Linked DNA regions of Drosophila melanogaster. The protein of the gene in region 3 interacts with the protein of the main gene of each other region in a pairwise test. Each region holds a gene or a part of one and is shown on either strand. Other genes may lie near its edges.

What was found.
Region 1: the proteins of Mst89B (region 3) and SdhBL interact in a two-hybrid assay, tested with the Drosophila melanogaster proteins (one large-scale study listed by BioGRID).
Region 2: the proteins of Mst89B (region 3) and Osi15 interact in a two-hybrid assay, tested with the Drosophila melanogaster proteins (one large-scale study listed by BioGRID).

Annotation. Positions count from the first base shown.
Region 1 is NC_004354.4:18,890,034-18,898,886, reverse strand, and holds SdhBL (succinate dehydrogenase, subunit B (iron-sulfur)-like), read right to left. Parts: upstream 4,442-8,853; 5' UTR 4,226-4,441; coding exon 3,994-4,225; intron 3,863-3,993; coding exon 2,989-3,862; intron 2,933-2,988; coding exon 2,725-2,932; 3' UTR 2,306-2,724; downstream 1-2,305. Other genes in the region: Flacc (Fl(2)d-associated complex component), read left to right, coding at 5,435-6,128, 6,202-6,844, 7,027-8,146, 8,406-8,820.
Region 2 is NT_033777.3:6,298,139-6,306,667, forward strand, and holds Osi15 (osiris 15), read left to right. Parts: upstream 1-3,665; 5' UTR 3,666-3,774; coding exon 3,775-4,093; intron 4,094-4,653; coding exon 4,654-4,806; intron 4,807-4,864; coding exon 4,865-5,037; 3' UTR 5,038-5,515; downstream 5,516-8,529. Other genes in the region: Osi14 (osiris 14), read left to right, coding at 1,113-1,354, 1,821-2,026, 2,081-2,439; CG46396 (uncharacterized protein), read left to right, coding at 5,904-6,215; Osi16 (osiris 16), read left to right, coding at 7,132-7,447, 7,507-8,027.
Region 3 is NT_033777.3:16,265,201-16,273,205, forward strand, and holds Mst89B (Mst89B), read left to right. Parts: upstream 1-1,811; 5' UTR 1,812-1,895; coding exon 1,896-1,962; intron 1,963-2,022; coding exon 2,023-2,237; intron 2,238-2,312; coding exon 2,313-3,140; 3' UTR 3,141-3,233; downstream 3,234-8,005. Other genes in the region: asun (asunder), read left to right, coding at 1-723, 788-1,093, 1,154-1,346; Mat89Ba (maternal transcript 89Ba), read right to left, coding at 3,263-3,670, 3,737-4,140, 4,200-5,440, 5,497-5,607, 5,661-7,039, 7,096-7,134.

The DNA.
Region 1 (8,853 bases), on a different chromosome or scaffold from region 3:
TAACCATCAAGAAGCAGGAAACCGTTCCCATGCTGCAGTGCTGTAACATAGCGTTTTTGAGTTGAATTTGTTAAATTAAATGGCAAATCAACAGATGCGTTCAGGAGAAAAGGATAAGCCACTGTAGTCATCATTAACAAGCTAAAAATTCTGGATCGGGGTCACCAAGCTAATAAATAATCAACATAATATTAAGTTAACATGTGACCACTCTATAAAGTACATCACTTGAAAATCACCTTTCTCCGATTGGAAAAAATTTGCAAATCGGGGTCACCATGTCAATTAAACTGGCATTTTATTCGCATTGCTAGGGATAGTTAGCATCTAGGTATTATCAAGCGTCTGCTTGCGTTTTGGTTCAGGCTCTGCTTCCTATCTCTTTCGCTGCCCGACTCTCCCTCCCTTTCGCACGCGGCTAATTCCAGCACGCGTCTATGACGAAATGTGCCTGGAAAATGCCTGTTTCTCGGCACTCGGATGCTTCGATTCCGATTCCCCTTGCCACCTGTCAGCCGTCAGCGGCGGCTTAACAGCTTAAATTGTGAGTTGCTGGGGTTTGGGGGAATGCTCCACATTGTCAGCGGCCTCGACACCTTGGAAATGCGACAAAGGAGGAGCCAGGGACTTTAGTCCAACATAATTTGCTCCAAGTATTTCGGAGTCTGCATGTGTGAGACGTATTTATTTTTAAGGGCACTGCACAACCAAACAGGAACTTTGGTCAATCATATAGTTGTACTTACTTTATTTAAATACAAATATCAAGTGTGATATTTTACCAAAGTTTAATAGTTGCATCAACTATTTCATTTATTTAATTTAAAAATCAGAAGAGCTACTTTTAAACATATTTTTTCGAGCCATAACCGATCATTATACCTTAAGATAATAGCCCTTGAAGATAAGGCTTTATATCGAATATCTTTTGCTTTGCTGACTAGTGTAATCATCGTGCTCGACTGGCTCGCTGTTGACAATGTCGTTTGTCGCTGATATCTGGACGGCAGGTGCAAACAGGCGCATTGCTGGAATTGCGTTTTAATTGTCTCCTCGCCACGCGGTTCCTGATGGCCTAAGCTTCTGGAGAATCGGCCAGAATGATGATGATTCTCTCCAGCGGCAGCAGAATGGGAAGCTGCGGATCAACTGGCTTTGGTTAATCTCCCGGAGCTCTTGCCGCAGGCTTTTCATCTGATTTGTGCCTGTCAGCTTGTGTCAAGGCGATTGAGTGTTGTCGCACAGCCCAAGGAAATAAATACGAGCCTAAGTGACGAATGGTAAAGGGCGAAGATTTCCATACACTACTTCATTCAAAAATATAAATGACATTAGAAGAGGCTATAAAAAAGCTCGTAGTAATGTGTACAAAAGTATGCTAAAATATTTCTACAATCCGAAGGACCTCCAAAAGAGGTTCTCCATACATTTAACTAAATAGTAAAGTAAATTTGCACATACATGATAGGCGAAGTACTCGTCGGAAGGGTATATTAGAAAACCGAAGAAAACGAGAAGAAAAGTGCAAGTTGTGTAAATGAGAGCGTGACAAGATTTCCCGCTTTTCTTGCTTTCATTTCCCCCGTTTTCGCGACGGCTGCTGACAAGTTCGTAGGGCCTTGTTATTTTTAAAGAAAACAACATCGAAGTATTCCATACCGAACTCGAAATGACTCCGTCTCCGATTCTTCTGCCCGGCGGAAGATTTGCGGTGGCGTATTTATAGATGCCCATCGAGACGTTTGGACCGTTTTCACAGTTGGCTTCATTCACTGCCCTCCAATGCTCCTGCTCCTGCTCCTGCTCCAGGCCAATTGGAAAACAAATCTCCTGGCCTGCACGGCAATAAATTTGTTTGCTTTAAATAATGTACTAAGAAAGTTTCGTGCTCAAGCACACCGTGTAATTTTTTCAAGTGTGGGAAGTGGCTCATTTCATCCGATTCCATTCTTTATGTGTGATTTGTTTGGATGCGTCTGGTGCAGACACGAGCATTAACATCCACATTGCAACAGCATTTTCCCACTTAATTGCAACGAGCGGCGCAGAAATAGCACACAAACACGGAATCGGAATCGGGATCGGGATCGGGGTAGGGATTGGGATCTGGATCTACGAAGAGGGGAATGGAGATGCTAGGCGCTCTTGGTATCAGTTGGATTCATCTGTCCAACTGCAATCCATCTGCCCGATGATCTCTTTATTTTGTACCCATGATGGCATTTGTAAAGATTGTCTTTCAATTGATCAATTAATAGAAGACGATCTTGTGCAGCATTCTTTAGAAAGTCTACCCAGAATATTCGATTCAATCACATCGATTTTCTTTTATTATCACCTATCTAACGTAAAGTCCATGAGGTCCTTGGTTAAAATGTAGTTAATAGGATGTATCGGTGTATTGCCCAGTGTGTACAGTATAGCATTCCTAATTCCTACTATATCTATAACTATATCTATATCTATATCTATATCTATATCTATATCTATATCTATATCTATATCTATATCTATATCTATATCTATATCTATATATGTATATGTATATGTATATGTATCTGTATATGTGTATATGTATATGTATATGTATATCTATATATGTATATCTATATCTATAACTATAGCTACATATGTATATCTATATCTATAACTATAGCTACATATGTATATCTATATCTATATCTATTAAGTCCCATGGCGTTATGTCGATATTTCGTTGTCCTCCTACGCCTTTCCCGCGAAAAGGGCGTCGGTCTTGAGTTGTGGTTTTCCCTTCTTCTTCAGTCCCACAAGCAGCTGCTTCAGCTGAATGATGGCTCTAGCCGGATTGAGGTGCTTGGGGCACGTGTTGGTGCAGTTCATGATCGAGTGGCAGCGGTATAGCTTCCAGGGGTCCTTGAGAAAGTCCAGTCGCTGCTCGGTGGCCTCGTCCCTGCAAAGCAAATCTTAGCACACTGGGGAAACTGGCAGCAACATGGCCTCACTCACCTGGAATCAATGACCCAGCGATAGGCCTGCATGAGGACGGCGGGACCCAGATACTTATTGCTGTTCCACCAGTATGATGGACAGGAGGTCTGGCAGCAGGCGCACAGGATGCACTCGTACAGCCCGTCCAGCACCAGACGATCGTCCACGGACTGCAGATACTGTGCCGTTCCAGCTTCCCGCTTCAGATCCTTGCGCTGCAGCCACGGCTGGATGGAGCGGTACTGATCGTAGAACTGGCTCATGTCCGGCACCAAATCCCGCACCACATACAGGTGCGGCAGTGGATAGATGCGGCAGCACTTGCTCTCATTCTGGTCGATGGACGACACGCAGGCCAAGGTGTTTGTTCCATTGATGTTCATCGCGCAGGAGCCGCAGATGCCCTCGCGACAGGAGCGCCTAAAGGTCAGCGTGGGGTCCATCTCGTTCTTGATCTTGATCAGGGCATCCAGCACCATGGCGCCGCACTGCTCCAGGTCCACCTCGTAGGTCTGCGTCTGCGGCTGATCCCCGGGCTTCCAGCGGTAGATCTCGAAGGTCTTCAATCGCGGCTTCTTCGCTTTCACTGGGGGTGCAGATTTAGCAGGCGGAGGAGGTGGTGGAGGTGGAGGCGTTGCTGGTGCGTTGCCCGAAGCTGGCTTTCCGGTGGACGCTCCTCCGGGCTTGGCGGATCCGGCGGCGGCGGCAGCTGCTCCTCCAGGCTTGGCGGCTCCGGCGGGGGCTGCTCCTCCGGGCTTGGCGGCTCCGGCGGGGGCTGCTCCTCCCGGCTTGGCGGCTCCGGCGGGGGCTGCTCCTCCGGAGTACTGTCGTTTTGTGGCGATTCCTCCGGCGGCTGATCCTCCGGTGGCTGATCCTCTGAGCCCTCTTCCTCCTTTAATGAATATAGAAATTTCAGTTAAGCATATCAATAAGTGCAGGTGTCATTTATGAAATGTCATTATGACAAAGTCATTGACAACCCAGAAAATTGTGGAATCAGAAAACTTTTCACTTAGAACTAACCTGCTCCTTGTCCACCTCCTTGGAGGCTGGAGTGGGTGCACCGGGGTACCAGGGATACGGCGGATACTGGGGTGGCGGCAGCCAGCGCTGGTCCGGGTATCGATAGGGTGGACATAGGCGCCGCAGGACGGGAAACGGGTTCGGACACATCCCTGTTGGCCAACACGTAATTTCTAAACAGCCACGTGCTCCGTTTATTCAGCAGCCGAGGCTGCCGGCGCAACAAATTCATCGGTTTTCGAGCGAATGAATGAGACTTTAAGTTAAAATGTGTACTTATAAAAATATATGTGTTTTTTTTTTTTTTTTGTTGAGAGAGAATGTGTGCCGAGGCGATGAGGTGTTGAGGTGTTGAGGTGTTGAAGTGTCGAACTGTGTAGCAAAACTGAGGAGAAGCCGGTGAAGTGCCCGTAATACGACTTGACACTAGAGGCATAGCCAGCTGGATTTGAAAATCTTTTCGAAATGAAAAGTTCAGTTTAACTGAGTAGTAGAACAGGCTGCTTTATACAATGTTTTGGATGCGTGGAATTTAAATCAACTAAAGAGAGTTCCTCGACTATAAGATACCCGTTACTCAGCTAGTGGATGTGAGAACGCGAAATTTTATCATTTTCTGGGCAAATCGATAGAAATTTACAAGATTAATAAAAATGCGAAAAAAGATCAACAAACTTGCGCTACGTCTTTGTCTCTAGAATCTGTATGCTGGATCTCAACCTTCTAGGTACGGACATGGCGGACAGACGGACATGACTAGATCGACTCCTGATCAAGAATATATATACTGTACATGGTCGGAAACGCCTTCTTCTGACTGCTACATACTTTTCAACAAATTTAGGGTACCCTTTTACTCTTCGAGTAACGGGTATAAAAATGGATAACAAGTCAGATTTGAATCCCCGTTGCTGAACCGGTAAATTGATATAGAAATTGTAATTCAATCCAAAACCGAACTCATTTTAAGCAGAAATTGTTACAAAAATACAATATATTAATATAAATACAAGTATTAATTAATATTATTAATTTTAATAATATTTTTAATGTTAAATTAATATTTATTTATAGTTAAAGGCACTTAATTATTTAATTATATTTTATTATAATAATGTGATACAATAATAAACAATATTTTCAAACTTATACCGATCGATATGTACCGCCGTGCTGACTGTAATCGATGGTCGCGATGCCCTGCCAATCGACTATCGATAACAACAAACACGAAGATATAGAGGAAAATAGAGAAGAAGAAGAGTTAAAGAAAACGCCAACAAAATAGACAACAAGGCAAGTCCGCGCCTCCGAACAAGGACATTATACCACAAGACACGCTGCAACTAGTTATAAGCCGCATAGCCGTGCTGATTTTCGACCGGAGTACGAAAAGAAAGCAGCCAAAACGGAGGCGCGCAGGCTAGCGGAGATCGCGGCGATGGAGAAGAAGGCCAAGGAGTCGCTGCGCCGCTACAAGAAGGCCGCCCGTCACAGTGCGACGCACTCGAGCAGCTCGGACTCCACCTCGGACTCCGACAGCGGGAGCAGCTCGTACAGCAGCACGGACAGCGAGCAGGGCGTGGGCGGCGTCGGCGTGGGGGTGGGCGTACCTGGTGGCGCCGGTGGTCCCGGCGGCAGTGGCAGCGTCCACGGTCATCCCCATACCCACGGCCATGGGCATCATCCGCGCTCCGCGGAGCGTCATCATCGCAAAAAGAAGAGCTCACGGCGCGGCGGCAGCTCGTCCGGAGATGAACCATCGTCGTCGCGCCGCAAGCGAGACAAACGGGATCATGTGCAAAAGAAGCTGGTGGCCAAGCGAAATCATATCAAACGGAAACTGAAGGAAGCGCGCCTTAAGAAACGGGCGGCCGCCGCCCTCAGTGGTCACGTCCATCGTTCCCTGTCGCCGACGACGCGAGCCAAGCTAAAGAAGCTGGCCGAGCGAAAGAGGCTACGGGCTGCCAGCAAGGAGCAACGGGAGCGGGACAAGCTGCGCGTCGTCCAACGAGACAGAGAGCGAGACCATCATCGATTGGGCAGCAGTAGGAGTCCGCCGAGCAGCAGCACTACCACCACCACCAAGATTCGCATCCATCAGGACATCGTGGGTAAGCGGCAAAAGAGTCCAGGTAACTATCAGATACTACATATAGTTATGTCTAGGCTCAACCCACTAACCCATTAATTTTGCTTGACTTTAAGGTTTAGGTTCTGGTCTTGGAGGCGGCAGCAGCAGCTCATCCTCGCGAATGCATCACCAACTGATGTCGCGAGAGAAGATCATCATCCAGACCCGCGCACGTGGACGTACTCCGTCCCTGGAACGGGAGCGGGAAAGGGAGCGCGAGCGAGAACGAGAAAGAGAGCGCGAACGCCACGATCTCTCATTGCGGGAGCGAGATCGTCGGGATCGGGAGCGCGAGCGTGCGGAACGGGAGGCAGCCAGGGATAAGGAGCGCGCTGAGGCCTTGGCTCGCTGCCAAGAACGTCAACGGGAGCGGGAACGCTTGGCTCGCGAAAAGTTGCGTCGTCAGGAGGAAGAGGAAGGTGGTAAACGCGGTGGTCCCGGTCGAGACTTGGATCTTCCGCCGTATGGCAGCCGGGAGCGATCGCTGGACACCGTCGAAAGGGAACGAGAGCGCGAACGGAGCGGGCGTCATGTCCGCGATAAGCGCGAGTTGGATCCCTACGAGCGTGAGCAAGAGTATCTGGAGGAACGACACGGCCACGGGCTGATCGACGAGATGCGAAGGTATCGGCGCAGGGACCTCAGTCCCATGCCTGAGCATTATGCACCCAGACTGCGGGATCCGCGGGAACTGTACTCCGAGGAGGAGCGGGAGAGGTAGGTTTAGGTTCTGCACTTAACTATTCCACGAAAAGCTGAAACTGTACCATTTTGGTTACTTTTTTCTGTTACCTAGAACATAGTTAACTAGGTAGCAGAACGGGAACCTTTTCTCATTAATGTTTATGGCCACGAAATCGGCATTAGCTAATCCGCTGTTTGGGAATTCCTTATTTTAGAGCCTACAAACGCGCCTATCTAGATGCCCGCTATTCCTCGCGGGAACGAGAAGCCTGGCTGGAGGCACGCGAGTTGCGGGAACGAGAGCTGCAAGGACGCGAGTACCGTGACCTCGAAACGGAAGACACCCTCTATCCGGACGAGCGGGAACGTCTAATCCGGGACAGGGAGCGTGATCGGGAACGAGAACGTGACCGCGAAAGGGAACGTAATATTGGACCCCGTGGCGACTTCCGACCGGAGTGGGAACGCGAGTGGGAGGAGGAGGGAGCTGGTGGCGGCCCAGGCGGACCTAGTGGAACCCCTGGGCGACCGGGTGGCTTTGTTGGCGGACCCAAGCGGGGCAAACCCCCAGCTCATGCGGGCGGAGGACCTCCCTCGCAGCAGCAGCACCATTCTGCTTCGGAGCCCGACTGGGATGCGGACGAGCGGGAGCGAGAGCGGGAACGAGAGCGCGATCGGGAACGCGAACGCGATCGTGAGGATCGACCGGACACAGGAGGCGGAGGCGCTGGCGGCGATAGGCCATCTATCAAAAACGAGCCCGCTTGGTTGGAGCACGATCAGCGGGAAAAGCCACGCGGCTGGCAACAGCAGTCGTCCAATTCTGGAGGTGATTGGCGGGATAACGATGACGCGCCGCCAGCACCATCGCATCCGCATCCAGCTTCACCGCACCACCATGTGCATCCGAGGGGCGAACGAGGATCCGGCAGAGGATTCCGGCGCGGAGGCCACGGTCATGGCGATCACGGCGAGCGGCCCGGTTACCGATCGCATCCGCCACCGCTGATGACGTTGCCGGTGCAACCGCCTGGTGGTTACTCACGCGGATTTCCCCATAAGAGATTGCCTTATGGATCTGGCCGAGATGGCGCCGCACTGGGCGCCCGTGACGGCGGACTGCCCGGATCGTCGACTTTCCTCAAGAAGCACACGCACGCACCGCTGGTCTCGCCGACGCAGACACCACTCCTGAATCCACTCCTCAACGCGGCCAAACCAAATGCTGCCGCACAGGCGAGTGCTGTGGCGGCGGCCACCACAGCAGTGGCAGCGGCTAAGGCTGCGGCCCAAAGCGCCGCCAACGCCACCACCAATCCCGGAATACTGGCTCAGGTGCGATTGATTTTCGTTTACTTCGCTGCAGAGACATCGGATGCGGCCTATCATATCATTTGGCGGCAATGATTTCGTCTTTGTTTATAATTATATAAATGTGTTTATGTTAGCTGAGTGCAACGTTCATCCATTCGAAATCAATTGTTCACCAACCGTTGTGCAATAACGTAGTCATTTTGTCCAGCGGAAATGGTAAAACCATAACTTTCCATTAGTAATAAATTTCTCTTATTGTAATCCTCATTCGATGTTTAAGGTAAGCAAACTAAATACCGTGTGCATCAAGCAGGAAGATGCGTCCGAGGACTCCGCAGGCACACCTGAACTGGGCGCCCAAGATTCGCCGACCCAGAGCCTGAACCTGAATCAGTCGCTGTCTTCCGAGGGCAATCCAGTTAAACAGGAGCTAATCCGCACCAGCGCCGTCGAGGGTGAGCTGAGCGAGATTAGCGACAGCGATGACGATATTCTCAATAAGACGGACAAGGTGCGGCCCAAGAACGAGCTGCCCACGGAGACGGAGCAGGAAATGGACACCAATGCGGATGAGGTCAAAAGCGAGGCACTCCACATTGTGGCTGGGCATCCGATCAAGGGCGAGGAAGGGGACGAGGTGCTGGACTTTGAGGAAATATCCGATGGCGAACTCGAGGAGGATGCACGCCACAAGGGTGAGTCACTCATGTATAAACATTTTTCCTTAT
Region 2 (8,529 bases), about 10 Mb from region 3:
GTTAAGCACCTGCACTAAGGTTATTTATCATTCTGTTAGTGCAAATTCCTTTCAGCTTGTTATATAAATTCTCAATGACCTCCTTCTCCATCCACACAGCCCTTTTAACTTTCAATTATTACAACATAGACACATTAGCCACACAGTCCAGTTCAATCATCGAAGTGCTAAACACTATTTCACCATATCCCAACAATAAAAAAACAACTACGGCAAATAAGACTGACCCATTTAATGCCGGAGAAAGAGAAAAACACATTTTTGCGTTCATAAATGGGCTGCGTGAAATATACGGCAACCGGATCGGTTAAGAAGCGTCAGTAAATTAGCAAATATGTGACTTGGCCATTGCGAGAGTCTGATGAAAGCTGGGCGCAAACGTGAAGCCGAGGGCTCAGACCACCGGTAAACACCAGGGCCCCAGCTTCATTGAAGGCGTGTCCGTGGGGACCCAAAGCACCACTTTTTGGTTTCAATAATCTGAGACTTTTTAGGATTCAAGACAGCCCAAGGAATGCAGTTATAAGTGATACCGTGGACCACCCCGGTTATGTAAGCCAGCTGATTTTTGTCGCTGTGCAGACCTAAGCCAATGGGCCGACTGTTTACTCCAGGGCGCCCCTTTTTGGCCAATGGCCAAGACCAAGACCAAGTCCAAGTACGAGTTTCTCTCTCCGCGACGCCAACGTTGACGGATGACGACGTCGCCGGAGCGGCGCTGCCGAAAAAAAGGCAGACCGAAATGAACATGTTCACTTAACAAACAAGTTGACTTTGTTTCCCCGCCGTTCTCTAGATTTATGCGGCTGCGTCTGTGACTCTTTTTTTGGGCCCTGTCTCCAATTCGGAGTTCGCTCTTTTCGCGTCTTGGCCATAACTTCCGCCGTCTCTCGCCGGGCTTTATTTAATTTACTTTTGAATTGTTTTGTAATGCGCACCGACTGCGACGCCGACCGAGAGGCCCAATATATAAGGCTAGATGTCCGGAGACGCATACATCAAACTCATCTCAGCGCTCCCTCAGAAAAGCAGCAGCCCGAAGCCCAGAATTGAAACCCCGGATCAGCTATATTAGCAAGGATTAACCGCGTCTAAATACCAATCGATCGAAAATGAAAGTGTTTGCCATCGCTTGTGTGACCCTCTTGGCGGCCAGCTGCGTCTTTGCCGCGCCCAGTGTTCAAGACAACCAGGTCGAGGGCGACAATACCCTGGGCCGGGCCGCCCGGTATCTGGGCGCCTGTCTGGAGAGCGACGACATGGCCACCTGCCTGGCCGTCAAGGGCATCACCGCACTCAACCGCGCCGCCAGGAGCAACAACATCGAGCTGGCCAGTGGAGTCACCTTCCAGAGGTGTGTGTTTTTTAACAGTGAAAGTGCCTGGTTCTTGAAACAAAAACCAAATCGAAAGCGAAACTGTAACCAAAAGAAGAACGTGCCCGAGATGAAATCTTCAATCCGTGTTAGTTAAAGTAGTGATTGCATCACAAAAGTTGACTAGGAAAGATACTTAAAATGAAATTATGATATCAAGATATGTAGGCAATTAAAAATAAGTTTAGAGAAATTAGTTATTAGATAGTTATATTCTGATACCCATTTTTTATGGTCTTTATAGATTTAAATGGTGAGCCAAGGCTAAGGCTAAAAACACTTCATAATTAATGTTAATTATTATTGGAATTCTTACATAATTCCAAAAATTATGACAGTAAATTTAAAAGTGGTATAATAAGACATTAGAGGCATTCGGCATATAAGTTGTCATAAAAGTTAAGTAAATGTGAAAATGTATTTATAACTTACAATATCATTTTAGGGATCCCGCCAGTCCCGTTTCCCGCACGGGAAAATCGATGAGCGAGCAGGATGTCTATGCCGAGCTGCCCCAGAATGCCGATGAGCGTACTGGTCGTCTAGTGGATCTGGCCGTCTCTAGTGCCGCCGACTTCCTAAGCACCCACAACCTGGAGTTCAAGCTGCCCGCCGAGACCACCCAGCAGGTGGCTCGTGCCCTCGATGAAGGTGGGTTTTGACTTGGGATACGATAAAACATGGTTACCTAACATCCAATCACAGGCCGTGGCAAGATCAAGAAGATGCTGGGACCCGTGGCTCTGGCCATTGGCGCCAAGCTGTTCGCCGTCATTCCCCTGGTGCTCGGGTTTCTGGCCCTGCTGACCTTCAAGGCCGTGATCGTGGCCAAGCTGGCCTTCTTCCTGGCCATTCTGGTCGGCGGATCCCGCCTGCTGGGCGGATTCGGCAACAAGTTCGGAGGTAACTCCTTTGCCGGAGCCTACAACTCGAACGCATGGTCCGCACCCGCCAGCGCCGGCTGGAGCTCGGGAGCCTCCTCGTCCTATCCCTATGCCCGCAGCATCAGCGAGGATGGGTCCGATGCCCAGCAATTGGCCTACGCCGGCCAGCAGCAGCAGTAGAAGCGGCTGGGAGACAGCTCAAACAGATGTGCCTTCGTTTTGAAACCTTTAGCCTGTAGTAATTTATTCGAAATGTAATTAACTAATTTATTGACACACCACGCACACATCACCCGCAAGTCAAGTCGAATGTATGAATAAAACCAAGAGTATTGCACCCGAAAAAAATATAATCCGCAAATCCACGCACGTGGACAGTGCTCACCTGTGCCCAGAGACTTTCCCAGTTTCCCAGGGCTTAATTGAAATGCTGACAGACCCCAAAACAAATATGTGGAACTTTGCTCGCTGGGCGGCAACAAGTTTGCGGCTGGCAATTAAAACTTGTGGCAGGTTCTGTTTCTGAACACAAAAAAAAACCCAAAAGAACACAGAAAATGTTGAGAAAAAGAGCTGATAAGCTGGGGATTTAGTTTTTGGCAAGTTGGTGGCCTGCTCATAATTGGAGTTTCTAGTGGCCATGTGACGGCCGTTCGGCATGTTAATTGTTTGCCAGAAACTTTCTACTTATGCTCATAAAAGTGTCACTTTGCGATTGAAAAGAGATATATGCGGCGATGTGCTACAATTCAGCTTTCTTTCACAGGCAGATTTAGAAGCAATTGAAATAGAAAACAAGCCACGAACGACAGTTGACAAAGGGAGAATGAAATCGAAAGCGTTGAAAGCGCCAGAGTAACTAACTGGGCCAAATTGTGCATTAAGTCACCACCGGCGGGGCATACCAAATACGTGTGGGTCTCGCAGATCCACCACTATATTCTCCGCTCCATCGTGAGCCCTGATGGAGCTAATGGAGAGGAACAACCGGCCAAGAATCTGGCGCAGGCAATCCCAACACGTAGCACCGGCGACTCCATTGAATGCCAATTAGGATACGGATAACGGTCGAGCACCCGAAATCGGGCCACTTGCTTATATAAAATATATGTATGGTATATACAAAAAAATAATATTCAGCCGGCCGACCACTGGCCACTTCCCTTTCGTTGACATCGCGACGTGCGTGGAAATATGGTCAAGAAACTGCCGGCCAGGTAGCATACGCATATGCTTTGCATAAATTGCTTTTGGATTTTTGGTATTGCCGTTCGGTATTGTTATTGTTATTGCAGCGGCGAGCGGTGCGTTTTGGATTTTTGGCCTGCCACGCGATTTCTAGCCACAAAATTGGTCAATCGACGTCAAATCGAAATGGTATAAAACGCGGGGGCAGTGCATTCAATTAATCACAAAGCGATTCCCGTTCACATCGGCAGCACTCACCAGCTCCAGGCAGCCGTCCCACGGATTATAACCTACCCAAAGTCAAGACACCCCCAAGTGCTAATAAAAATGTGCGCGAAATTCGTATGTGTAGTGCTGCTGGCCAGCCTTGTGTGCGGTTCCATGGCCCTTCCCTCCCAGGACAACACCGAGCGGGACCTGGTCAACATGCTGAACCGCTTAGACAGCGAGGAGTCCGTCGCGCTGTTCGGCGGTCTGAGGATCGACCGGTCGGAGTCGGGCCGTAGCTTCGGTGCATCCAAGGCCGTCGAGTCCTTCGAGGACCGCGCCGAGCGCTACCTGGAGACCCACGAGCTAAACCTCTCCTTCTCCGGCGATGAGCAGGACGAGAACTCCGAGAACGAGTACACCGGACGCGCCATGGATGGTGAGTGATCTTGGTTTCCTTTATTTGAAAAACAGAATATAGTTTAATCCAAAGAAAAAAAAGCTATTTAAGCTACTTGCTTTTAAAGTTTTCATATTGCGTTGAATATCTTAGATACTTAATATTAGGTCAGAATTTAAAAATTTGTATGTTTTTGAGAGACATAAATCGATAGAATGGTAGTAAATACGTGAGTTGATAGCCAAAGAATTTTGAAATAATTTTAAACGAGTTATAAGTTACATTTTTATTAATTACTACAAAAACAGAGGCATTCGTGCGCATACGAGAATAGCTTTGGTAAACCGTCCTGGCTCTCAAGTCGTTCCTGTTCTGTACGGTAAACGAACACTTCAAAGTCTACTTACTAAGGCTAAACGTACTAAGGTCCACTCTGCTGTGCAGAAAGCCAACTGCCAAAAGCAAAACTACTAGCATACTCAGTTGTGCTGACGGGAAGCGAAGTGAAAGCTTTACCTCGACTGCCAGGCCTTGAATACTTTTAGGAGCATGGCTAAAACCCCGATTTCTCTTTACTTTCTCCCTCCCGGAATAAACAGAGTCCCGCAGCAAGCGCATGAAGAAGATGCTGCTGCCCCTTCTTTTGGCCCTGAAGCTGAAGAAGGCCGTCGTTGTCAAGATTATGTTCACCATCATCAAGTTCATCTCGCTGAAGGCTCTGGCCATCTCCTTCCTGGCCCTCATCCTGGCTGGTGAGTTTACTTTTAATGATCTCAGGAATAGCACTTTTTACCCACGTTTCCCGCACAGGTGCCACCTTCTTCAAGGATCTGTTGGCCAAGAAGAAGGAACACATCACCACTGCCTACATCACCGGCAGCCCGCTGAACGCCGACATCGTGCACTCCGACTGGAGCCGCAATGGTCAGGCAGGTGCCGCCGATCTGGCCTACAACCACTATGGTCTGGCCCAGCCCTTCTAAGCCGGAAAACACCCACCGATCCATCCATCCCACTCTGTACTAGCCTCTATCTTTCACCTGCTATATCTTATCCTACCAAAGCGTCTCCCTTCTTCAACTTCCCCCCACTTCATCACCATTTCCACAACCTATCCCTCTAAGACTTTCCTGAAGAATGGCCTAATTCGTAGTCAATAATTATTTAGTTACATTTAGTTAGTTAGCTGCGACATACCAAAAAAAATCACAAAAAAAGAGAACTATTGAAACGGTCCCTCGACTCTTGGCTAGCCCAAAGGACAATGCTTAAGGATACTACGGCCAATCAATGATTGCGCCATAATTATTGCACATTTCCCCATCCACATGTCTCTTGGCGGTCGTACATGTCACTCAGGTTCATCGAAAGCAACGAAGATTATGCCTGCTAAAGAGCTTACTTACTAAGTATTTATTCGTACAACTTAAAGCAATTGAATAAAAATGATTCATCAAATGCAAAACCATAGAATCTTTAAACTTTTTGCCCGAGTCGGAAACTTTGGAAATGTACAGGTATTATACTTTTAAAAAGGCAATGACTTGTATAATTTCCGGCTCAAAGCTTCCTTATTGAGTCTCAAAGGTATTTTCTGAAAAATCACTAGGAAGAGTGTGAGCATCAAGCTGGAAAGTGAAATTAGTGGCTTTTACTTAAACACTTTCCTTGAACCTCTTGCAAAAACAAATCCATTGAAGACACATTTCCACTTAATTATATTAGCAAAGTTGAGTTTGGGCCCGTGGCTTTCTTTGCGTCAACTTCCTAATTGATGTTTAATCAAATGTCCCACTTGGCGTTGGTATAAAAACACCACTCATGCTGACCAAAAGTCAACAGAATCAATATGAACGGCTTAAGCAACAAACTCATTGGCTGTCAGATTAAATTCGCCTTGATTGTTGGCCTTTTGGTATCCTTGGCCTGGGCACTTCCTGTCGAGGATGATGGAAAACCCCTCATAACTGAAGATGATGCTGTGAACACCGAGCAGCCAATCGAAGCTGCCCCTGTGGTTGAGGAAGTGGAAAATGTTGGACAGCTCCGATTCCCGCCTTTCAATAACAATGGAACCAAATTGTTCGAAAGATTTGGAGAAAAATTCAGGAACAAGTGGACCACAACTACAACCACAACGACACAGAGTACATCAGGATAAGCTTCATAAGAAAAATTAAAAGGATCAACACACAAAAGATTGTCACATACTTCACATAAATATTTATTTAAATTCATTTTATTATGCCCGAAATAACTTGTCTTATCTTTACAATAAAAATACAACGTATAAAAGCATATAAGAGTATGTTGAAAACAATATTTTTGTCAACAAAAATGTTTTAATAAAATTAAAAACACTGTTTTTAAGTGAGCACTGTAGTAGTCTAGTAGATTGCATAATCGTTCCAAGCACCCACTATAAGCTCAGATTGGGAAATAAGACACCTGCTAGGCAAAAAGCGAAAATCAAAAGTCGACCAACCAATTGGTCATTAGCACTGCATGTAATCTGAATATTAAACAGGTCGTTCTCGGCGTGGAAAGATAAATTTCTTCATGGCCAATACGAGGAAAGAAAGTAGCGAAACGACGCTGGGTCAGACACAAATGAAAATGAAGTAATAATTAACAATGAGTTGTTAGTTAGTCCCAGTTAGGCAGGCAAAATGTTGGGTCTTAATTTATGAAGGTCCGAGGCACGCGACGTTTATCAGGCACTTGTAATTACCTGAACTCCCGAGTCTGGGAGAGTTTTCTTCTCGGACTCTTGGGGAATTCATTGGCTGGAACTTTTGGTGACAGAATTAGCCGGCCGTTTCGCAAGACCGACCTCCGCTGGCGCAGAGGAAAGCGAAAGTGCCGCCCAGTTGGACGCAGCTGACTGACGCTGGGAAGAATTTCGACCACAAATCGTTTGAGTAATTAGAAAAGCACAAGGGCCCCAATACGGACGGAGTACGGTTTGGTGAAAGGGAAATGCGAATGGAAACCGTGGCAGCGGGTATAAAAGCGAAGGCCTTCAAATCGAGATGATGCAGACTCACAAACAGTCTCCATTGCAGTAGATAGCGAAGATGTTGCTGACCAAGACCGTGAAATATCTTTTTTACTTGGCCTTATTCGCCTTCATGTGCAAATATGCCACGGCTGCCAGTGTCCAGCCCACCGAAGTGCCTGCAGTTGCTCCGGAAACCATTAGAATACCCCAAAGGGCAGAGAGCCTTCTCAGTGGCTGTGAAGCATCTTCCTTCAGTTGGATGTGCCTCAAGATCGAGTTTGTCAAGATCATGGAAAAGCTTGCCGAACAGGAGGAACTAAACGTTTTGCCAGGAATCAGCGTGGTCAAGGATGAGAACGCCACCGAACTCAAGACATCGGAGCTCATGGCAGGTATGTTCTTGAAAACACAAAAATAAAGACAAAAAATTTTAACTTTCGACAATATACAGAAGTTGCTCGCAGCTATCCCAGTGACCCGAGCACTCGCTTGAATGGCTATATAGTAGCCAAACTGGAAAACCTTCTGAGAACGCGGTTCCTACGATTTCGCCTGCTGGATGACAAGTCCCTCGTAGAAGGTCGCAAGCACAAGTTCGGCAAGAAAGGAGGCTTGGAGGCCCTAGTGGCGGCTGGAGTCATGATGAAGGGAATGCTTATGGCCATGGGCCTCGGGGCCATCGCTCTGATGGCCGGAAAGGCTCTGATGACAGCTTTAATGGCCTTGACCCTGTCTGGAGTCCTCGGTCTAAAGAGCTTGGCCGGTGGCGGGGGAAAGTCCACCACATACGAAATAGTGGCTAAACCAATTTACACCTCCAGCCACTCGCACTCGGTCACTCACGAAGATGGAGGTCACTCCCACAGTCCCCACTTTGCCGCAGGAGGTGGGGGTGGTGGTACTGCCAGTGGCTTTGGCTACGGAGGATATGCGAGGTCCCTGAAAGTGGATCAATCAGCGAACAAAATCTAATAATTTTAGAAAAGAACCGACAGTATCATTACCTAATAACTAATTAATTTATTGTACTTTAAGAAACACAATACTCAGCAAACTCAGCATTGTTTTTGTTTTATTGTGTGAACAGAACAGTTAAATAGACGTTGCCGATCTTCCAAATAATCATTAGTCAGATTTTATTTACTTTTAATATGCCCAAGGTTTTTATAAACGACTATTAAGCCCACAAACGTAAAAAAATGTTTTAATTTTTTATTTTGAAATAATAATAATAACTCCTAAGAAGACGAAAATATTCCACAACCAAAATTATTTGGGCACTTATACTCTCACTCCCACAAATTGCAAAACTCATTAACAACCTTAACTCTTGTGATACTTTTATAGTTCCCAATATCTTATCTACGTACTAACTGTCGGTAATCACGCCTAATTGTTTTTGCTGATCAAAAGTATTTACACAAATAATATTGCAAGCAAATGCAATTAATCAAATAGTTTTAACTCGGATTAG
Region 3 (8,005 bases):
CGCCAACTCCAGCGCCAACTACGATGTGGAAATCCTGCACAGCCGAAGGGCCCACTCCATCACCTGTGGCCCAGATTTCAGTCTACCCACGAGCATCAAGCAAGGTGCCACATACGAAACAGTGACTCTTAAGTGGTGCACACCGCGCGGTTGCGGCTCTGCAGATCTACAGCCCTGTCTGGGTCAGTTCCTCGTGACACCGGTGGACGTCACCTCGCGGCCCAGTTCTTGCTTGATTAACTTTCTGCTTAACGGACGTTCAGTCTTGCTGGAAATGCCGCGCAAGACCGGCTCAAAGGCCACCAGCCATATGCTTTCTGCACGCGGTGGCGAGATCTTTGTGCACTCCCTGTGCATCACGCGCTCCTGCATGGATGAGGCTCCATCAATTACTGATGGCCCCGGAGGACGTGTCTCGGACTATCGCACCGCCGAACTTGGTCAACTGATCAAGATGTCGCGCGTGGTTCCGCTCAAGGTTAAGGATCCATCTGCTCCGCCCTTGACGCGCCGGTTGCCTCGCTACTTCCCCCTGACCACCAGCTCTTCGATTCTGTTCCATCTACAGCGACACATCAGTTGGCTTCCGCATTTTCTCCATCTTTTAGTGAAGGAAGACATGGATAAGCAGGACGAGGTGCGGTGCCAGCAGCACATTCACGAGCTGTACAAAAGCGCCTCGCGTGGCGATGTCCTACCATTTACCCACACCAATGGAGCAAGGTAAGCAATTTATAGATATCTTTTATATATTTTCAATTTTTTATATTTAATTAACTCATTTCAGACTAAAGCTTTCCAAGGCCAAAGACCAGTACCGCTTGCTGTACAGGGAACTGGAGCAATTAATTCAACTAAATGCCACCACAATGCACCATAAAAATCTGCTGGAAAGCCTACAGAGTTTGCGAGCCGCATACGGCGATGCCCCGCTGAAGTCGGAACCTGGAGCAAGTCTCCTGCGCACCTACACGGAATCCCCACTCTCTCCCGAACGGCTGGAGCCCATCAGTAGCGTCGGTGCTAGTGGCAGCAGCAGCTCCAATAGCCTTCTCAAGGCGAGCAAGCGTCGCATGTCTAGTTGTGGGCAAAGGTATGTCGTATGTATGTATTTCTTGATAGAGTCCTTAATTCGCGCAATATTTGTCCCCAGATCCCTGCTAGATATTATATCCTCAGCAGAGCGAAGCCAGTCCAACAAACGATTGGATTTCTCGGGACGCCTTTGCACTCCGTTGGGTCAAGTGGCCAAGCTGTATCCGGATTTTGGTACCAAGGACAAAGACACAGTTACGACGGGGGCCAGTATTACGCCCAATGTTAAGGAGGAATCCGTACGTAGTTAAAATGGCACGGAGAACGCCGAATTTAAGCTGGGACTGTAGTATATATATATATAAAAGAAACATAATCATTTCCTTAAACAATGCTTAGTGTACGGCTTAATAGGAATTAATTTGAATGTAAAATGAAGTATTTTTCTGAGTTTCGTATAATCGCTTCTTTAAGACTGGGACAACATTACTGTGGAAGACGACATTATAATTCCTCTATTTAAGCTGCCTCAAATTGGATTAGTTTATGATTCAAACTGTTTGTTTAACTTAAGAAAATATAAACATGGGCCAATGAGTTTTTTTTAACTTGTGATTGTGATCTTTGGCACGGTAATAAAAACGAAAAGTACCCAGAATATAATTATAAATAAAATTCGTTTATTTATTAAACGGATTTAACTATTGAATTTAAAATTTCGAAATTGTCAAATTGTCAAATTTGTGGCCAATCAAAATATCGTTTTCTCCTTTGGTGTTTTATAGAAAAAATTGTATTCAAACGCTAAATTCTCAGATCGAATTTGATAATATTTTCCAAAATTTGTGTAATCTTTGGCAATGGCGAACAATTTTAACACGAGAAAAGTGATGCAGGTAGCGGAGGAGGGGGCACCACCTGTTCACAGTGAGCATCGATATTGATTATTGTAATATGCAGAGTATTGACTAACTTTTCTTCGGTAAGTTCCCATAATGGTTGGCAATGAGATTATTGTGCTCACCCAGCAGGACATTCGTCGTGTGGAAGACACGCGAGTGATAAGCTACAGTCGTGTAGGACCCAACGGGCAGTTTCTTCCCTTGGATACTTCTTCGCCAGGTGCGGTTTATTTCCCCCCGCCAAACACCACGCACTTCTGCACTTTGGATGATCTTCTCCGCAATGCTTCTGACAAAAGGGTCTGTATGCGAATGGACATCGAAGAGGATGTGAACCCTGCAAAGTCGACCAATGATACATGTCTTTTTCTACAGGAAACCTCGAACCCGCTGAAGACAGTTGCAAGTGTGTCTACTCAATTGGTTTGGTCAAAGAAAAAGTCGGGATCTGAACACCGTTTACCACTTTGCTACGATGCCGGCACCTCGACATCCGGGTTGATGACAAACACTGGATGCCAGCACTGCCCCAAGTGCGAGACGCAGCACTCGAGCTGTCAAACTCAAATGTTTGCCAAAACGCAGACAACTGTGGAGCGCGAGATGCCTCGGAATGCGAGTTGCCAAACGAAGGACACCGCCACCCCAACTAGAACTTCTATTGTGAAGGCTCCACAGAATGTGGGTTGCCAAACTCAGAGCTGTCTCAGTGAAAATACCTATATGAAGAACGAGCCCGCTAACTCGAGATGCCAGGCTCAGCGCAACACAAACTCCACCGGGTGCGGTACATATAGCGACCTATTTGAAACGACCTCAGCAGAGTCTTACACATCAGCTGAATGTGATTACACTTCATCGGTGGAAAGCACCTGTCAGCACTGTAAGTCACAACCGACCTGCACGGATCAGACGTTGATAGTACCAATGCAACCTCAAGTTCAGTCGCCCGTACCACCACAGGAGCAGCCTTGCACATCTAGACATATCCGCTTTGATCTCTGCACCCAGGTTAATAACTTTGAACCTCATGTGGAACCTCATTTCTATAGAACGATACCGTTGGGCCAAAATCCCTATCCGCGAGCTCAAGTCTCCAAGCCATCAGTCTCCAAACATACGGGTTGGACGAATCTCAATCCTGATCACGAAATACTTCAGCAGGAGCTCAGTCAAAACGCGTCCATAAGTAAACATCAGTAATGCTATAGTTTTTATATCACCGTTTTTCGCGATTTCTTATGCTGCTATATGCCATTTTTTTTTAAACCAAAATTAAAGCTATTTTTTTAACTTAGTAACGGTTTAGCTACATATTTCTATAACTATTTCAAGACCTTAAGGGTTGAGCTTTTTATTAGGCGTTTCCTTTTGGGTAGTGCTTTTTTCCCGGTGCCCTTGCGTTGCCTATGCTTTTTCGGCTTTGGCTTCGACTCCTCCTCTGCCTTGTTGGCATCAAAGTACCGCATGGGCTTCTGATGCTCGCGCTGTTCCCGTTTGAGCTCCTCTGGTGTGGCGATGCGCAGGTAGAAATCTTTCAGTAAGAGTTTGAAGTCCTCGAGCAGTGTTTCCTTGAGAACTTGAACCTTTTTATTACCACAAGGACTGCATGCCTGCAGCTCTGTGACCTTAAATGGCTTTGCAGCGAATTCCGTTGGTGGCCGCCATACAATGCCCAGTTCCTTGCCTCCGTGCGGATTGTAAAAGAACGCAGCAAAGTCGGAGTATGCAGACTAGCGGAAAAAAGAAGGGAAATGAGAATTTTCAAATACAAAGCTGGCTGCTTTATAACATCTTACTCTTAGTAGTCCCACAATTCGAGCAATGTAATCTGATCCTGCGCGGGGCAAGCTAAAGTTTGGCTGGCTAAATGAAACAAATGGTGACCCCAGATCGTAGCTTAAGGAATTCGGCACGAGATCTGGCTTAAATTGGATAACCAGATCGTATCCCTCGTTGGAAGCTCGAAATAATTGGGCCGGCCGCACAAACCTCAGATCTTTCGACATCAGGCTGGTTTCAATAATCTCGAGCGCATGGCGGGCCAGTCGCGTCACATGTCCAAGCACCCGTTGACTGGGTGACTGATCCGAGGTCCACAATCGTCCGGCATGCTGCATATCGTAAGAGGTGGCCACAGCCAAAGGAGGATAACTTTGACGGTTGCTGCGGTAGTTGTGCTCCAGATCGGCAATTTGTTGTTCTTGAGAACGTAAAGTTGAATTATTTTATAACATTATGGAGTGGTAACAAAGAACTTACCCTGCCAGCTATTGTTGAAGTTTAGCAGGAAGAGTTCGCCATTAAAATCGCTATGGGAAAGCAGCTGCAGGAAACGTATGAATCCAGTTTGAGGTGCCGCTATGGACTGCGGTGCATACCGCTGCTGAAAGAGATGCGCCACCAGTAGCTCAGTAGCCATATCAGGCCACAAGCCATCGTCCAGCAGTTGTGTGGCCAGCCAGCGCTTGGCCAACAGCACAGTGGAACCAAATGCGCTGTAAGTTTGATGAAGCGAATGTAGAGCCCCACTTACTTTGGGTAGAATATAATGTTGACGCTCTAAGGAACGACTGGCTGCATTGTCTATATATGTAGTTATGCCACGCTCAGTAACTTCCTGCTTCAGCAGCGCCAGCTCCTTGTTGTGTGCCAGCTCTATAAGGAAGCAGTAACCTTGCTTGAGTACGAGCAGACCGTCGGCGGACATCACCCAATGAAGCCGGCACTGCGCTTCCAACTTTTCGCCAATTTCGATAAGAAATGCAGTTTTAAGAGCACGCAGTGCACCAAGTTCAGTGGGCCACTTGCCGCTTTGCCCGAGCTGGATTACCACACGCTGAATGCTGCTTGCCAGGATGCGGTTTTCTACCAGAAGCGCCTGTGGGAGAACGGGCTGCGGCTCGCAGTAGCGGAAAATGGGCGAGACGCCTGATATGGAGACTATCTCTAGAGGAAGATCATTCAGCCCGTGTAGTTGGCGTGCCAACTCATCATAGCAGCGGATGACGTGCGGACTAAGTGCCTCTGCGTCGGTATCTTGACCCAATGGCAGCTTGGTCTTTAGCTTATTGACCTTAAACCAAGGAGACAGCTGGTAGACTTGGTCCAACTCGCCGCCAATGTATTGTACTTCCTTGCTGTCCAGTTGTAGGTGATGCTCCAATAGATGCAGCACAATCTGGCGAACAATTAGTCGCTTCTTGGCGGGTGAATCCTGGGCGGTCCCCCAAACCACAGCTTCTGTGATGCTGCCATCCTGAAACCGACGTAGGTTTGATTTCTCTCCCCAGAACCGTCGGAATTCCTCAGCTCCCTCATGATCATCGTTGGCAGCAGGTCCTTTGTTTAACACCTGGTATGCGTGCTCTGGCTGAAGTATAAGGCCCAGTTGAATATACTTCCCAATAACGGGCGCTTTTTTTTCCACAGGCCAGGCGGCTGTCGCAGTTTCTAAGGGTAGTATGGAGTGGACACGTTCAGCAAGTCCCTTTTTAAGGAGCCTAAAGTTATGATTATTATTTCTTTGTAAGTTGCCTGTTTAGCTTAGTTAACTCACTCAGTCAGTAAATGTAGCAGCTGCGGGTAACCATAATTAGCAAAATCGTACTTAATTCGAGGATGCGAATGCAGTGTAAGCATTTGATTTATGCATGAATAATTGGAAATCCTGGGGAAAAATAAAGTTTATAATTGAAAAACTAACATTTTAGCTTCACATACTTTAAGATATTATCCACCCTGCTGTACAGTGGACACTTTTGCATAAAGATAAGCGGGAAACTGTTTAGCTTCATGTCGTTCAGTAGTTCCACCGCCAGTTTGGCCTCCTCTCGAACTCTCTGATACAGGTAAAGCGGAATATTTGCGCATAGATTATGCTGTCCAGTGAAGTCTATAAAGCAAACGTCATAGTGTTCGGCAAACTTGTTTAATTCTTCCGTTTGAATGGGAGCAACAGACAGGCTAATGCCTTTCGTCCAGTCCGTGTTCGCCAGTTGGTTCCATACAGTGCGTGCCACTTGGTAACTGCTGCTTGACTGATGCAGAATGCGCTGCGTATTTAGGTACACAATAAAAGCGGCTAAGATGTGGGCACCAAACCCACTGTAACCTATGTCCAGTTGCCTCTGACGCAACCATACTTTAAGGAGCAGCAGGCCGTCCTGAAAATTACGCCTGCTCTTAAAGGCCTTATCCAATTGAGCCTGGTTCTCGGACAAAGTTAGATCAAACAGTACGTTTGCGTTGTAGTGTTGGGTGGAGGGCAGCGGATCTTTCTCGTCCCATTCGTCACCGTAAAACGAGGGCCGAATATTGTTGTTCCAGGGAACAAATCTGCCTGGCTTAAAACTGCTTAATGGGGCAGTGATGAACAGACGCACTTGCAGGTGCTTGTTTACTTGCTTAGTAACTGGGATCAATTCCAGAACCGGCTTAAGCGGGTTGTTAGCATAGTAGTTGAAATTAAACTGATCTTCTGCATAATCTGGGGACTCCATCATCCTCTCCGTCACATAAGTAAGATACAAAGCTCGCTTCTGGTCATAGCGAAGGTTTAGGTAATCTTCTTTGTGCAGGGATTCTTTTGGCATCTCCAGGGCCACATCCACTACAATTTTGGGACCCAGCAAAGTGCCCGTGGCGGCGGCTCCGATCAGATAAGGTTCCCTGGTGGGCTTGGAGAAAACAAATCCGGTCGGCTTTTCAGAAAGCTTCATTGGAACTTCCAAGTGGGTACGCTCCATCAAGCCATCCTTTAGCTGTCGGGTAAAGGCCGTAAAGGATTCAAGCCAGTTTTCAATGAAATCTGTGTATTTCTGCTTTAACTGCAGCTCCTCCAGCATTTCCTTAACTTGAAGCTTAAAGAGATTGGAGTGGAAGAGATTTTGGGTGTCTCGTAGCTCCTTCATCTCCTCCAAAGTGGGCGGCTTTACATTCTTGGTACCTTCTCTCTGCTTGAAGTTGTTCTTCTTTGGTATGGCAGTGGATGGTGGGTCGCTCTTGGCGATTTTGGGTTTTGGTTCATCAAGGTCGCTGTGATCCCCGGCATGTGCAATTGCTTGGGTACCTGTTCGAGCAGCTCCCTTCGGAGAGCCCACCTAAACAAAGTATGTTATAGGCCAAATAGTTTCCATAAAGATCTAGACAATCTTACCAACTTTCCTGGCATGATGTTTCCCTGTACAAATCGCATATAATATAAAATTTATTTACTTGTTGGAGAGAGAGCTAAACTCGCACGTGTTGCAGATGCGGTATTTCAGAATTCGGTATTTCATTAGAGGTTTTTGTATGGTCACCCTAGAACTGGGCAGATTCGTTTTTTAGTCCCAAATCAGCCGCAAAAACAGTGTCGAACGTAATTATAATTAAAATATTGAAAAGGTTTTATACACTAAATAAATTAGAGCAAAATATATTGCATGGTACACAGTTGTTGAATAAGTTACAAATTTAGACAATGTGAAGTGTAAATGTCTATACCAATTGCCGAGAAATCCTTGGATCCAGGACCAATAAATAAGATAAAATTTATAATATTATAAAAACAAATTATCAGTTAAACGCGAAAGATATTACCGTGGGCCTATACAGTTTTAAAGAGTAGATAAACAAATTTACCGGCTAATTGGTTTCGCCAGCAACAGTATTTTAAACAGTATTTTTATTTCATAATTATGTTTAAACATCTTTTATGTAAAGAGGGCTTTAGGTAAGTTCTGTCTTTAGCACAAGTATATAAGTATCTGTTTAAAATAAACGGGAAAAGCTAATTAAATTATCCCATTTTTCTTTTACCAGTAATCAGCATTAAATCAGCCTAGAGTATTTCCCTCGTTTTTCTATACGGTCTTACTCCGTCTCTGTCCATGTATAAGCGTGTGTGTGTGTGTTTGCAGGCAGGGGAAAAAATCGCACCATTTTTCTCGTGCTCTCTTGCGTGCGTTTTTTGGTCTTTCGAGGATTGTTTCGTAGAAAATCAGTTAAACACAAGCCCAGCTTAATTTATAAAAAGTAGTGAACTAAGTTGTTATCCAGAAATCGACGAGCGCACAGTAGCAAAT